Lytechinus pictus: one gene and its partner. The protein of the gene in region 1 purifies or fractionates together with the protein of each later gene. This does not show direct contact. Links are inferred from orthologs where the notes say so. Each region holds a gene or a part of one and is shown on either strand. Other genes may lie near its edges.

Region 1 (7,575 bases):
CAAAAGAACAAGAAATCAGAGACAGAAAAATTCTTTAAAGTCCCACATATAGGGAGTCGGACGTACATATTTTATGGAATTGCCAAGGTACAGTTTTGTTACCCTTGTAAATTATAGGTCAAAGTTTCAGTTTTTCCAAAGTAATTTCAATACAAATTAGGTCAATTAAAATATTTATTTAAATTGTTGAAATAGTGCACCACATGGATGGATCTAGCTTTTCATAAATGGCAGGGGCGTGAATATAGTCGATTAACTTCAGAAATTTCTGACAAGTTGCTACACGCCCCCCTAAAAAATTATACGAAAGTAATGATAAAAAGTAATAGGCCTCATCAGTGGCAGACCGTGACCCGGAGGAGACAAAGCATTGGAGGGGCACAGCATTGTTCACAAACAATACAGTGCCCCTCCAATCATTGTCTCCTCCGGGTCACGGTCCGCAACTGGGCCTCATTATAAGGAAAAGTAATGATAAAAATGAATATGAAAAAATACTAAACGATATGAAATATACATGCAAAATAAAACATGGAATACACAACCTTCCAAAAGGATGCAATTTGTCAACCCGCAAAAACAAATGTAAAAAAGGAGGGCCATACTCGCATAGAAAAGAGTCACTCTTGACTATGTACAATTGAATTTGTTAAAACAATAAACCACTCTTTTTTTATGATTAAAACCAACCTGTCAGAGTGGACTTCCCCCTTTAATCTCCCACAGCAGGTAAGGTAATAGCAAAAAAAAATTGGCTTACCTCTACAATACTCCATCAAAATGAGGACTTCATAGACTCCACTGTTGCTGCGTGTGATGCTGGAATCGACATAGGGCACAATGTTCTTGTGACCCGACAGTGTAGACTAGATCAAGAAATAGAGAGAGAGAGCCGGAGAGAAAAATAGAGATGGAAAGAGAAAGACACCAGGAGATATATAAACATACATATCCAGAGAAAAAGCGTGAGAGTGACAGAAAGATATAGAGAGACAGGGAAAGATATAGAGAGACAGGGAAACATATAGAGAGACAAAGAAAGATATAGAGAGACAGAGAAAGATATATAGAGACAGAGAAAGATGTAGAGAGACAGGGAAAGATAGAGAGAGACAGAGACAGAGAGAAGGGTGGGGAGGGAAGAAAAACAGTTCAGGTTTCATGAAAAGACATTTCCCAAGATACCCAGGCTCAAGCTGTCCTGTTTGCCTGGAAGCACATACTAACAGATTTGCGAAACATTAATAGGCAACCCATTCACACTACAAGAAATTGAGGAGAAATTTATAAAGACCGAGTTTTGATGTACAATGTATGACTTTATCGAGCAAAGATATACATGTATCTGACGAAAATCAAGTGTGATTCTATTCAAACCCCCCCCCCCCCCCCGTTACTTCTTTCATGATGGCAGGTTTGTGGATTTTTTTTCTATTGATCCAAGAGTTTTTGCTCAGCATACAGTATAATAAAACATTCAGAGTAAAAGCAGTTTTGTTACGATAGCTTCTCCCTGAAATAAACATGTGGGTATAATAATAATTTCTTCATGTAATGATCAAGACTTGGAAATCTTTCAAACAGAAAAAAAGCAGTACAATTGAGGCCAAGAGTTTCATACACCCAGGAAATTCGAAGAAAAGTTGACACTTGCCAAACATCATAAAATTTATTGTATCTTACATGTATAAAATATTTGTGCTATCATGACGAATTTCACTGAATTCCATGGGTACATGTAAACTTTTGTCCTCAACTGTACATAACAAAATATTGTTAAAGTTTTCATAAGTTTACAAGAAAATTTTGAAGGAAAAAAAAAAATTATACCACGCTACACACAGTGTACAGGTAATCTCTGTGGGGGAGACTTTTTAAAAAGCCATGTTTGAAGAGTGTGGAACAGAGGATCTCTCATACGAAATGTGTGTGTAGTATTGCAAGATTTATATTTCATTTCATTCTGAAAAGATTTCATCAAAAATTTATTCAAATAAAAATCAAAATTTATACCACCTTCATTTTTTTGGGCTCAATGTACTGTCTGATTGCATATACATGTGCCTTTCAACTGCGCAGAATACTAGGGGGCAAAACTGTGTTTTGTGGTAAAATTGATTGTTCTATCATAATCGAATTAGTGCAACATGGCCCCAAGAATATGCACTTTTATGGTAATGGATTTTACTCGAGAGAGAGAGAGCAAAGGAAGAGAGAAATAATTTTTTTTTAAAGACCCGACAGTAAAGGCGTTTTCATTGAATTACATACATGTACATGTATGATATTGTTTTCACATCTTGAAGATGAGGAATCAACCATACTTTATGTATTATTGGCAGAAAAAAATGGAAGAAGAGAGGCCAACTTCTCCTTTCTTACCATGATCTTGATCTCTCTCTTGCAGACGACCAAATCCTGCTCGTTGTTGACAAACATCCTCTTGAGGGCGTAGTGTACTCCATTGCGACCTTTGACCAGGAAGACCAGGGCAAACCCACCTGCAGAATCAATGAAAAAGGGATAAAACCCTTTAATACTTAATGAGTAACAAGAAAACTGAAAACGACATCGCTATTAAAAGAAAGGGAAACTTTGTACTCATTTTTGTAAATGGAGATATGAATTTTTTAGAAATTAAAAATCCTATTGAAACAAAAAAACAAATCTTATTTGGGGCAATTACATGTACACACTATCAAAAGTATATGACTCATACTTCAAATAATCTGACTTTTGCTTTAATTTTGCTAATTTGAAAGAAAAAAAAAATCTTTTAAATCTATTAAAATCTTACTGGTTGGCTGACCTGGGCCCCGTCTTACAAAGAGTTGCGATCGATCCGATCAAACACAACTATGGACAGCCAGCAACGTCAACATCTAAAATTGCATGTTTGTTCAAAATATTTTCTAGAAATGATGTACATTCATACATTCACTGTTTTCTTGACAATTCAGTATGCTAGTTGTTTTCAAAAGACATTGAGTAAATTTCCTAAAGAAAAATTATGACATTGATGAATTTCCATATACTTGGGATTGATCGGATCAATCGTAACTCTTTGTAAGACGGGGCCAGTGCTCTGTACACACAAAACCAAACATGATCCGTACAAATGGTGGTACTAATATAATTTTTACCTGATGGCTATAAAAAGAAAACATGAATGCTTGCATACATGTAGCTACATGCAGCAATCAGAGAACCAAAGGCTTTTGTCCTGTCCGAGGGACCTGGTAATGATGGTAGCAGGGGGGGGGGGGGTACTTGAATAATAATTTGTTTGGATGTGCCTCACAAAACCTCAAAATGCAGTCTTAGAAAATGTAGGTATTGGGAACTATAATCTATTACTCAGAGAAAAACAGTGTCTAGGGAACTTCATATTCGTGTGCAGACTTCCAGGAAGACAGTATGATTCACAATGCATCTGTTATTTTCGGCGGCTTCTGTTTACAACTTACTGTATAAATCTACAATATTCACTTACATGTAGCTCATTGTAATGAATGGGGATTTTCCAGCGCTCTTTTTAATTGATTCGAGAGCTCTTTTTATTAGTTTCCAGGGCTTTTTTTATTATGTTAGGAGCTATATCGCTCTGATTTTCCCTGCAGTCTGTCTTTAGATGTTTCTGATGAAGGGCAAATAGAAGAAAGCTAAAATGCTTTTCCTGCGCTATCCTTTTGTTTCATCTCCGTCATATGAATTAATTTTGTGTTTTCTCTGAGCTTGGAAGCAGGCATTGTGTCACGTGAGTAAAGCATTCATACTGGCCTGGATAATGTGTGCATCAATACTGAACTACTGTACATTGTAAATGCATACTGTTTTTGATGTCCCAGGTATACAAACAATACATTGTACATTCCTTTTGTTTTGCCTCTGACTCTCTGTAACAAAAACATATTGTTTCACAGTTTGCAGGGGACGTTTACTACAGAAGTGGGATGCAGGCACTACAGTATATACCATGTACATGAATGTATGACCCCACCCCCACTTCAAGTTTGGCCTGTCTACTGTGCATTCCATGTTCTTTACTGCGCCACATTGTAAGCTGTCCCAGTCTAATAACAATACATTGTACATTACATTGCCAGGGTGGTGACTCATAACCGTATGCCACACACACAGGGTGTTTTCCTGAACCAGATATCTTCACTAACTGTATTATAAAAAAGATGACCTTCAGACATTGATCAGTTTGTCCATGTGATCTTGCAATATATTTGTAGATAGTGTGGAGATATTGGAGGATTTACATGTATATTATGCAACCAGCTTGCAATATTGCCCACGTAAGCCTAATTCAAAGACCTAAATTTATATTGCATCTATTGTAGACATGAAAGCCTACATCATACAGGGTACATACATGTACATCATGTAGTAATGTTTGCAGGGCTTGAATTATATAAGCCTAAAAAAATTGAAAGCTATCGATGGCTGTGGCCGCGGATACCCACTGACTGTCCTTGGAGATTTCTTGTGCCTTATTTTATTCCCCAACAATTGAATTTTCATTATTGAAATTTGCCTCGTGGTATTGTGGTAATGCCCTAAAAATATTGAAATCCCGTTTGTGAACATTACTATTCAGAAAACTTGATTTCCTAATTTCTTTCAAAACAATTTGGTAAACTAATAATGATTATGATACATGTAATAGAACAATGAATGCAATTGCACTACATGTACAAATATGTATGTCTCCAATAAAGTAACTTCTGAAAGTAAACAGAGCCTCAAAGCTTATTGAATATGTGCCGTTTCCAATGTTAATCCTTTTAAAAAGACTGAAGAAAATCTTTTAAGTGCCACTCTTCATGCTACTGTAAATGTGGTATGCATCTGTTGCCCTGAGCAGTAAGGTGCAATATTTTTACTATTCAATGCCTTGGTCAGTGAATAGCAAATTTGGTTAGAATATTCTGACATTGATCTTGTCCAGTGCACAATTATGCAGACAGATGTCTCCCCCTTGGCCACAAGTAAAGTATCTAGGATGCAAATCCTACATGAAAGCCATCAATACAGAAGAAAGGTTCTGTGGAAAGCGATTCAGTACACACATGCATCTTCAGTAATCCATTTTTTTCTGGATTTAGATTTACAGATAAAGAACAGAGTTCAGACAATTTTAGAGCTCACACACGTAGTACAATTGAATTAATAAACAATAGGCTACTTGTATCACTATGATTTTGAATCTATCCTAAGGCTCAGGATTTTCCTAAACATATTTGAGAATTATGTCTTTGTTCTAAATCTATTGGAAACAACCATGTGCCTGCCTATAATATATCTTGGCATTTTTATAAAATTGTTGGATAAATTTGAAAAAATATGTATTAAAAAAAATGTTTTATTTCAAAACATACATGTATATCTGGATTGGTGCTTTAGATTCATCCCCCCCCCCCAAAAAAAAAAAAAAAAAAAAAAAAATTGAGTGCATCTTTGTTTGGTCATTTCATGGAGATGATACTGTAAATTGCATTTTTAGACAATATATTATATGGTCATGGTGTTTTCTATTAAAAAAGTGCAACTTTAAAAAAGAATAAAGTGCTCTGTAGCTACATATCCACTGCTTTAAAGAGAACACCTGGAAAGGCTTTAAGGCACAACAAACCAGCTTGCCGGAGGCAAGTGAATGTGATGGGGGGACATTCTTTTTTTTCATTAAAATCTCAGATATGAGTTGTACATTTACATGTACCTCTGCTAAAAATAAGAAAATTCAGGTGTAGAGTGGTCCTTCCAAACAAGCATTAAACAAAAACAGAAGAAACAAACATGGATTTGTAGAGGCAAGGGCTTTAATTTGTTAAGTATCAAGTACTCAAACTTAATTGACACTATATGTTCGCTAAAAATTACCAAGAATGTATACAGTTTTAATTTGTCAGTATGTCAATACAGTTTGTAGCCTCCATGCATACGTACAATCATGAAAGTTCATCATCACTGTAGAAAATTTACCTCCTTATTTTAGACTATCCACTGCTGCCAGAATTTTAAAGGTACCTTATCTAATTTGTTGAGAAATTCACATGCAGATTATTTCTCGACACATTTTGTAGCCTGTCTGAGAACACATAAAACAGTACATTGACCTCATAAAATTTGCATTCATGAATCATTCAAAATTCGTGCACAAATAAACATGGTATACCATTAATCTTTGAATATACAGATTACGTTAAGGGTGCTTGTCATCATCTGTTTTGTGGGCCAATTAATCCTTTCAATCGCCTTGATTTTTCAAGTAAGAAGCTTGCAGGCTTCTGCCTGGAACAATTAAACTTCTCTTGCCAAATGTTCCATTCTTCTACGTATTGTCAAAGTCAGGTGCTACTGATCTGTATCATTTTTCTTCTTGTTTTATTCATCATGTATTAAAAAGTGCTTGAAGAATGGCTGTACATGTATAAATAGATTTTGTGTTTTAGTATATTTATAATGTTATGGTACGAGCATGCACATTCAGTGGCGTAGACAATTTCGTACACCTGGGGGGGATGACTGGGCTGCCAACGCTAGTGAGGGCGCGAAGCGCCCGAGCGAGGGAGCGAAGTGACCGAGCGGGGGGAGGGTGTGGGAGGGGGGTGTCGCCCCTCCCACGGTAGGGAGCTTTTGCAATTTTGAACTTGAAATCGTGCAATCTGATGCATACTTAATGAGGTAAAATAACACACACAAGCGCGCACGCACACACACACATACTCACACACACACACACCCTTACACACACACACACCCTCACACACACGGGTGCGCGCACCACACACATACTACGCCTTGAATGGACAGACATACATCGACAAGATCTACACACCGTGGCATACGAATACAGAATGGACTGACACATAGTATTGCATATTGAACCGCACTACGTATTTATTTATCTCTGTGAATTTTGCTGTTACACCTCTTCAGAAAAAAAACCAATGTCAACTGTGTACACGCAGGTATAGTCTTTGTTGTCTTGATATGGGTATGTGGTTATGAATGAAAATGCTCCATCACCCTCAACGGCACTTTCTTCTGAACAGGCCTATCTCCGACATCATCCGATTTTGATGTAGACGGCTGTTCGTCATCACGTTCTTCTTTCTCATTATGCTTGAAAAAAGAAGTGATCTTTGATGTTTTCAACTTCTTTATATGAGCCATCCTAGAATCCTAAAATCAATTCACGCTGTGAATTATGTAAGTGACACACTCACATGCATTTCCCCCTTAAAAAGTTAAGGACTCACCACGTGTTTTTGTTTTCTAGCTAACAGCGCGTCCCTTCTCTCCCCGCACGTAATGCGCACATAACACGGCGTACGCTCGTAATCCGCATCCCTGATTTTCAATAGCTTCTTTCACACGTTAAAAGCCAATCTTGTGGTTATCTTGTGGTTATCTTGTGGTTTGCAATCTTAGAGGTATCTTGTGGTTATCTTGTGGTTTGCCCCATTTGAACACGCAAAACTCGTGGTTATCTTTTGGTTTCCACACCACGAGATTGCGCGCACTGCAAAATATGCGCGATTAATCTTGTGGTTATCTTGTGGT
Region 2 (7,308 bases), on another chromosome or scaffold:
AAATCACACAATGTTCATTTTTACGTTTTTGTACATGGTTTTGGAAAAAAATGGGGGCTGAAGCCTACCCAGCCCCTCCCCCCCCCCCCGTTTCCGCGGCCCGTGTAGAGAAAACAGTTGCGGCCCGTTTGATCTGACGAATGATGGCTGATTTGTTTTTATAGTGTATAACTTACAGTCGATATATCGAGATCTCCTCTTTGTCGAGGAGTTATAATGCAGAGATGACCGTCTGAATCAGTTACTAGCACCGTCAAGGCAATCGCTAAAACATGGCACAGTCTCCGCGACATGGTATCCATTTTATTTCATCAAATTATTTCCGTCAGGGAGTTCGTTCCAGAAGAAGTTTTAAACTTATAACCTGCTAAAAGGTAGAGTACAGATCGTAGTGCCACTATATTCCGCCGAGTATTATGCCAAAACACACAATGTCAATTTTCTTGGCAAATCTGTCCCGCGTGGTGTTGACGAAGCTATCCAGATTAGAAGTCGAAATCAAGGCTAATTTGGATTAATGAGAGATTAAACCGGTATATCACGCAACAAAACATACATTGATCTGTTGATTGTATTGTCAGTTCCTACATGTAAAACAGACTGCACGTGACGTGCATAGCTCTATAAATTTTCAAGAGATTCTCTAGTAGGGGCCTCTGATATGCGTGCTGAACACTTACTGTTAAATAATGCCGCACAGAACAAAGTAAATATTCCAAAGTTCTAATAATCGCTGTATTTTTTCTATTGATGGTGGAATTTGACTGAACGAATGAACGATAATGCTTTGTTTACATCCGTTGTTGATTCAGAAACTATAAAGATTTTTGCTTCATAGAAATTGTTTGATAAAGTATATGTGAAATAGGGAGAGGTTGGGGAAATATTTAGAGCGAAAGAATATTGATACAGTGTCGGAGACAAAGTTACAGTATATATATTTACAAAATGAAAGGAAATAAAGGTTAGAGGCACTAGCGTACCTACGGGGGGGGGGGGGGGGGCAGAGGGGGCAGTCTGCCCCCCCTGACGAGCCACAACCCATGCAAAGGACGTATCCCTGCCCCCCCCCCCCCCCCCTGACGAGCTTGAAATACCTTTTTTTTTTTTTTTTTTTTTTTTTTTTTTTTTTTTTTTTTTTTGCTTGTCAAATTCTTTGGCGGACGGTTTTGCCCCCCCTGTGAAAAATCCTAGGTACGCCACTGGTTAGAGGTGAAAAGAAAAAATGGAAGAATGACTGAAAGAGGGGGGAGGAGGAGGAGAAGAAGAAGAAGAATTAAGAAGAAGAATAATTAAGAAGAAGAAGGAGGAGGAAGAGAAGAAGAAGATAATGAAGAAGATGACGAAGAATAATAATTATAAGAAGAAGGAGGAGGAGGAGGAGGGGGAGTAGATCAGGAGCAGGAGATGGAGAAACAAGAAAAAATGATCGAGGGGGAGGAGAAAGCACCGAGAGTGCAACAAAACTATGGTTCGGGAACTTTCATCTGTGTACATAGACTTTTTCATGAAAATAACATTTGTTTGTTGATTTTCTCAAAACAATGTCAAAGCAAATTGCTCGTCGCATCCCACTATGACACGCCCACTTTTATTGTTTGTCACGTGTATACATTGGTCACATGACAGCGAGGGGTCGTTATTACCACTTGATCGCAAAATGAAGCACCTGACATGTTATTACCACCACCCCCGTAGCTGGAGCTCAGAGTTCACGATGACAGATTATTTTAGTAATCATGATGATAGCAAATTTCTTACCATGAGAGGGCGACGTCATTCTTCAAACGGTGTACGGATAGGATCTGCCCGCACTGGTGTAATCAGTGAATCAAAAAATATATCATATGGAGTAAGAGAGCGGCAAAAATTAGATCTTTTACAAAAAAAAAAGAAATATAATTTTGTGACAATGTGGGGTACATCAATGTTATAATATAAAGCCGATCCATTCCATTAATTCACTGATTTTGTTTCTAATATCACCATCATCACCAGTCATCACCATTGTCGTCATCATTTTCATCATTATCATCATCACCATCATCATCATCATCATCTGCATCATCATCAACTGCATCATCATCATCAGCATCATCACCATCTTCATCATCGTCATCACCATCATCATCATCATCATCACCATTATCATCATCATCATCATCATTATCATCAATACCATCATCATAACCATCATTAGGTATGATTGACATAAATTCTAGATTGAAATCACTCACACTTTCCTGGTTACCAAAAATTGTAAGAGGGGATGAACCACCATGGAAATATATTTGTGAGTTTTGGTTACATAAATTAGGCGGTATACCATTATCCATTCTGCTCTCCAGTATAGACATGATTAAATTATGCAAATAAAATATTCATTACCCGGCTACATTTTATACAGACTTACTTACTTTATTGGCTGAACTTCACTTGAAAATGAAATCATATGGAATAATTAAAAACATGAAAACAGGTTATTGTATTTCAGAAAATGGTCCGATAAGGGTTTAGTAAAAGTACGCCATTTAATTGAAAATGGATCATGGAAAAACTCCGAAAGTATTACAGACCTACTGTCGATGAATTCTCTTTGTATCTTATTTCAATATGCTAAAATTAAAACCAATTTTCCAACATATTGGTTCAATTAGTTGAACACTGCTCAGCTTGAAAATCACGGTGATCAACGAATACAAAACGATAAATTTATTCAAATTAAAACCGGTAACTCAATTGACATTACAATATCAAAAACAATTCTACACATATTTTGTAGATTAAAAAAAGAATTTACACCCAATGGTGTTATATTTTTGGCAAGATAGGCTTTCACTTGCAGAAGATTATGATTGGAGCAAATTGCTGAAATTTAAGTTTGGAAAATTACTTGATAACAGAGTTAAACAATATAATTTCAAATTGCTGCATCGGATTTTGCCGTATCGTAAAGAGAATTTAGTTCGATGGAATATCACATCAGACATGACTTGTATAACCATTGTAAACAAATTGAAACTCTAGATCATATTTTGTTGCATTGTCCACATGTGAATTTATTTTGGCAGAAACTACGGTATTTCATTAAGATCCAGTCTAATGTGAATATTCATAGAAAACATTATTGATTGGCCACGATGTTGAAAATGAAAACATGGCTTTTCTGAACGTAATTTTGGTTTTCGCACAATACACGATTTATAGAGTCTATGTGTTGGCTCAGTTCACTTTAAAAAAATTCAGTTATTTTTCTATGTTGTCAGATTTTAAGAGAGAATTAGTCATTAATTTGAGATTTCTTGAAAAGAGTAACAAGATAAAAATAACAGAAAAACAGTACAATGAAATCAAAAGCTTGTGAAAAGTGAAACTAATTGTATATATTGTTTGTGTTTGTTTATTCATTTCAATGTAATAAATACCTCTCAGATAAGGACAAAAAAAATCATTATCATGATGATGATCATGATCATCATCGTCATCACAATCATCTTCATCACCATAAAATAATGGTGTAAAGATATTATCGTTACCACCATGATTTTATTACCATTATTTTTTTGCAAGTTGTATTTGTGACCACAGCCATCATCATGATCATGGATAATCATTTTTTCCATAAAACAAGGCATCGTCATAATATCTCTTTCATTCTCCCTGTTTTAACTCATTTTGATCCACTGCATGCGAATCCTAGATTGGAAAGGCATTAGTCAAATCAATTAGCTTGAATAATTTTATTACCACTTTAAAAACTACTCGGGGGGGGGGGGGCATCTATTGATATTAATAAAGGTAAATGATTATACTTATACCCTGTATCATGTAGATATATAGTCCTATTCTGTTTGAAGTTAAAGCAGCAACATTGTCATCACTTATGATTGAAAATGTTTATTATGCTTTGACAGATAGGCCCACACCCCGCCTAGCTAGTACACCAAGCGATATTTTCATGATTTTCAAATTACAATGGACCCAGTTGTCCTTATACACCCTTCTGATCGACTAGTAATTATAATTTGTTCGCTTTGATAAACACATTTTTGAGTATCCTCCCCATTTGTAAGATTTTGTTGTTATTTACTTAAAAAGACCAAAACTTCATATCAACTGAGATTCAAAGTTCGAAAGGAAGATAGCCAGACTGAATTAACATCTTTGTGACTCATCCGGGACTTGTTCTGACGTCACCGACAATATGGCTGCCATCAGTGATGCGAAAGGAACGAAAAGGAGGGTGTGATTACCCATCAATTTCTAGGTTTTCGTGATATTTACATAAGGTTTTACAGATTTTCAGCCTCTCTCTTGTTTCCAAATTCTTTAGGCCCTGATTTCGAATCTTAATATCAGCCATGGAGGGTTCTTTCTTGAGTCCCGCAGAGCAGCAATATTACCCCGAGCTCTTCAGCAAATCCGACAAGGAAAGCTCCGGGCGAGTGGCGGCCCAGCGAGCGATGAGTTTATTCAGGTTGAGCCCGCAGCTCTCGGACGACGTAATTCAGAGGGTATGTCGGAACTCGGATTAGTCATTTACCTTTAAGTTTGTCTAGTTTTGACTGTTTGTTAATGTTAAATTAATATATTTCGATGCATATTATTTTCAAAATTGATAACCATGTTACTAAATCAAACCGATTGAACATGATCAATGTCATGTCTTGAAAACTGAAACTTGAAAGTGATGATGAACATGACGACGTGACTGACGTCTGAACGAAGCCAGAAAATGTGGAGATCATTTTGAATCATCACACTAGTAGTATGAATCATGTGATGTGATGAGTATACTAATGTGTTAGTAAGTATTAGTATACTAATACTAACCTCGCAATTAGTGTGAGTGGATGTGATGTGACTGTAATGTATGTATGAAATCATTTCTAGTGGTTCTTTTTTCAGTTATATTCTCAATGTTTAATTACTTCAACATATTCTTCATGAAGCAGTTTAAATTAATTTGGACTTTTGTAGCTAGTCGAATCTTAAATGGCAAAATGCCAATTTTTTAACCCCTTTTTTTAGCAAACTAATTTGGCTGCCACCAGTTGCAGTTAAAGCTCTATTGTTAGTCTGTATAACTGAGGAGAAACAAAGAATAAAAAGGTTTATTTATTTCAAAACAAAACAAATTTCAAAAGCTAATTTGTGGAAATTTTTGATTTCAAGAAAAGAGAAATTAAACCCAGATGAAAGTTTTGCTTGTCCCTGTTTAATGCTAAATAAGATACCTCAAAGTCTTGGTTAAACGCAATGGGACTTTTGCATTTCAAGATATTGAATTTTTCCATTCTCATGCTTGTTATCTGTAGGAATATAAATTATCAAGGATAAAGCTACATGGATGCACCACTCATTTGCACATCAATTTTAATGGATAAATGTGCACTTGCAATTTATGGAACTGTGACTGCATTGTGACAAAGAATTCCCATTCAGACTTACTACAGTACAGTGGCACCAATAAATAAATCACAAAAATGCATAAAATCATGCAACTATTTCCAGTTTTGCAGAGCTCTCTTGAATTTTTTTATTTTCTTTCAACAATATGGCCGTGTTTGAAGCGCAGGAAATGCAATTTCCTGCACCCCTTCCAATGCCAACAGTAAAATCAGGTGTTTAGGAAAACACAACTGGATTTTCATATTTAGAATCTTTAAAATATTTACCACAAATTAGAGTTTAAAAATCTGTTCAAATACTAATATTGCCATAGTTTTATGTTTTGTAAACAAAGAATGTAGCTTTTGGTCCCTCCATCATGTACGAGAGATTGGATATCATCATTAGCTGGTGACTTTCTTGTTTAGCACCTGACTGATTGTCTCCATTCTTGCATGAAGTTTTGCAAACAATAACTGTATACAAATTACAAATAAAACACTACCTCTGAAGCCAACGGCAAGGCGGGCAAGCACATAATATCTTCAAAATTTTCAAGTCATCATGCAAGCAAAATGGGGAAAATCTAGGAACCAATTGGATAGTATATAGTAGGCCTATTCTGATAATTAATCCTAGGTTTAACCCTAGTCTGCACAATACATGTAATTTTAGTCTTCACTCTCATGGGAGATTCCATATGTCTGGTAAAGATGATATGTGTAACATATAAAGTCATTGATTTAAAAAAAAAAATGTTTTCTCTTAATACAACAATACTAATTTCAACACCTTTTTTGCTGGAGGATTAACATAATTATTTTCTTTAATGAATGAGGGTTAATAAACCATGGCTATCGGAGTACACCCAATGTATTATGTGATTGTTTAAACCATGTAAATCATGGATTTATTGTCTTAAATTGTATGTATTTCAATACAGATTAATGAGCTGTGTGGAGCAGGAAGGTTAGGTTACTACGGCAGGAGTCAGTTTTATTGCGCACTCAAGATGATTGCAATGGTGCAGAATGGTCTTCCTCTCCCTAATTCTGTGGATTTTGTCATGCAAGGTGAGTTATTCACTGTTATTGTGGTTCCAAGACATTTGCTCTGGCGATGATTGCTCCGCTTTGAATTTGACACACAGATGGAATGACCAACTTCAACCTTGGATTGAACACTATACCCTATTCTAAACCTAACCCTATTCTAACATAAAACCCTATTGCAACCCTAAATATAACCATAACCCTACATCTTAGACGAAATAAAGCCCAGAGCAATTGTTGCAGGAGCAAGTGTTGTGTCACTGTTGTTGTTGCCTTTTGGAACCGGATGGTCCCTACAGGTACTAAAATGGGAATTATTGAATTCAGAAGTGTACATGTAGGGTCTGTATTCTCAAGTCCAGTTTAACTTTAAAAGGCCATGGTCTAACTCTGTGCTTAAGTCATGGAAAGCTGAAAAATATTAAAATTTTATTTAAATCAGGTTTCCTTGTTTACTCAGTTGTTTCTTCCTGCTTTGTTGATGAACAAAACAATTTTTGTTGTTATTCCCAGATATTGATGTATAAATGATTTGAGTCTAAAGTAAGCTGAGAGATTGAGCTTGCAATTACATGTATGTTAAAAAGATTTGTGTAATATCTGGCTCTCCATTGTCAAACCATTGATGGATCTTGGGCGGGGGGTGGGGGGTGGTTAGGGTTTAAACCCTCACCTCGGGCTACCTAGAAATAATTAAAAAAAGGAGTGCGATATCAAACTCCAACGCCCCTTCCCTGTTTACGAGTCATGCAAGCAGAACAGTGGCGGATCCGCCAAGTGCTGCAAACCACAACTTTAGACCAGAGATTGAATTAAACCAGAGTACAGGATATGGGTCAATGGGTTGAATTTAAAATACCCAAGT

What was found.
Region 2: the proteins of BMP-2-inducible protein kinase-like (region 1) and ralBP1-associated Eps domain-containing protein 2-like purify together in Homo sapiens (affinity purification with mass spectrometry; 3 studies listed by BioGRID and IntAct, counting the BioPlex papers as one, with this or other methods). This does not show direct contact. The link is inferred for Lytechinus pictus from reciprocal best matches to the Homo sapiens genes BMP2K and REPS1.

The regions. Positions count from the first base shown.
Region 1 is NC_087262.1:11,853,999-11,861,573, reverse strand, and holds the start of BMP-2-inducible protein kinase-like, read right to left. Parts: upstream 3,051-7,575; 5' UTR 2,440-3,050; coding exon 2,383-2,439; intron 867-2,382; coding exon 761-866; intron 1-760. UniProt on the Homo sapiens protein: May be involved in osteoblast differentiation.
Region 2 is NC_087248.1:18,756,405-18,763,712, reverse strand, and holds the start of ralBP1-associated Eps domain-containing protein 2-like, read left to right. Parts: upstream 1-4,143; 5' UTR 4,144-4,361; coding exon 4,362-4,514; intron 4,515-6,334; coding exon 6,335-6,464; intron 6,465-7,308. Other genes in the region: uncharacterized protein LOC129258351, read right to left, coding at 177-302. UniProt on the Homo sapiens protein: May coordinate the cellular actions of activated EGF receptors and Ral-GTPases.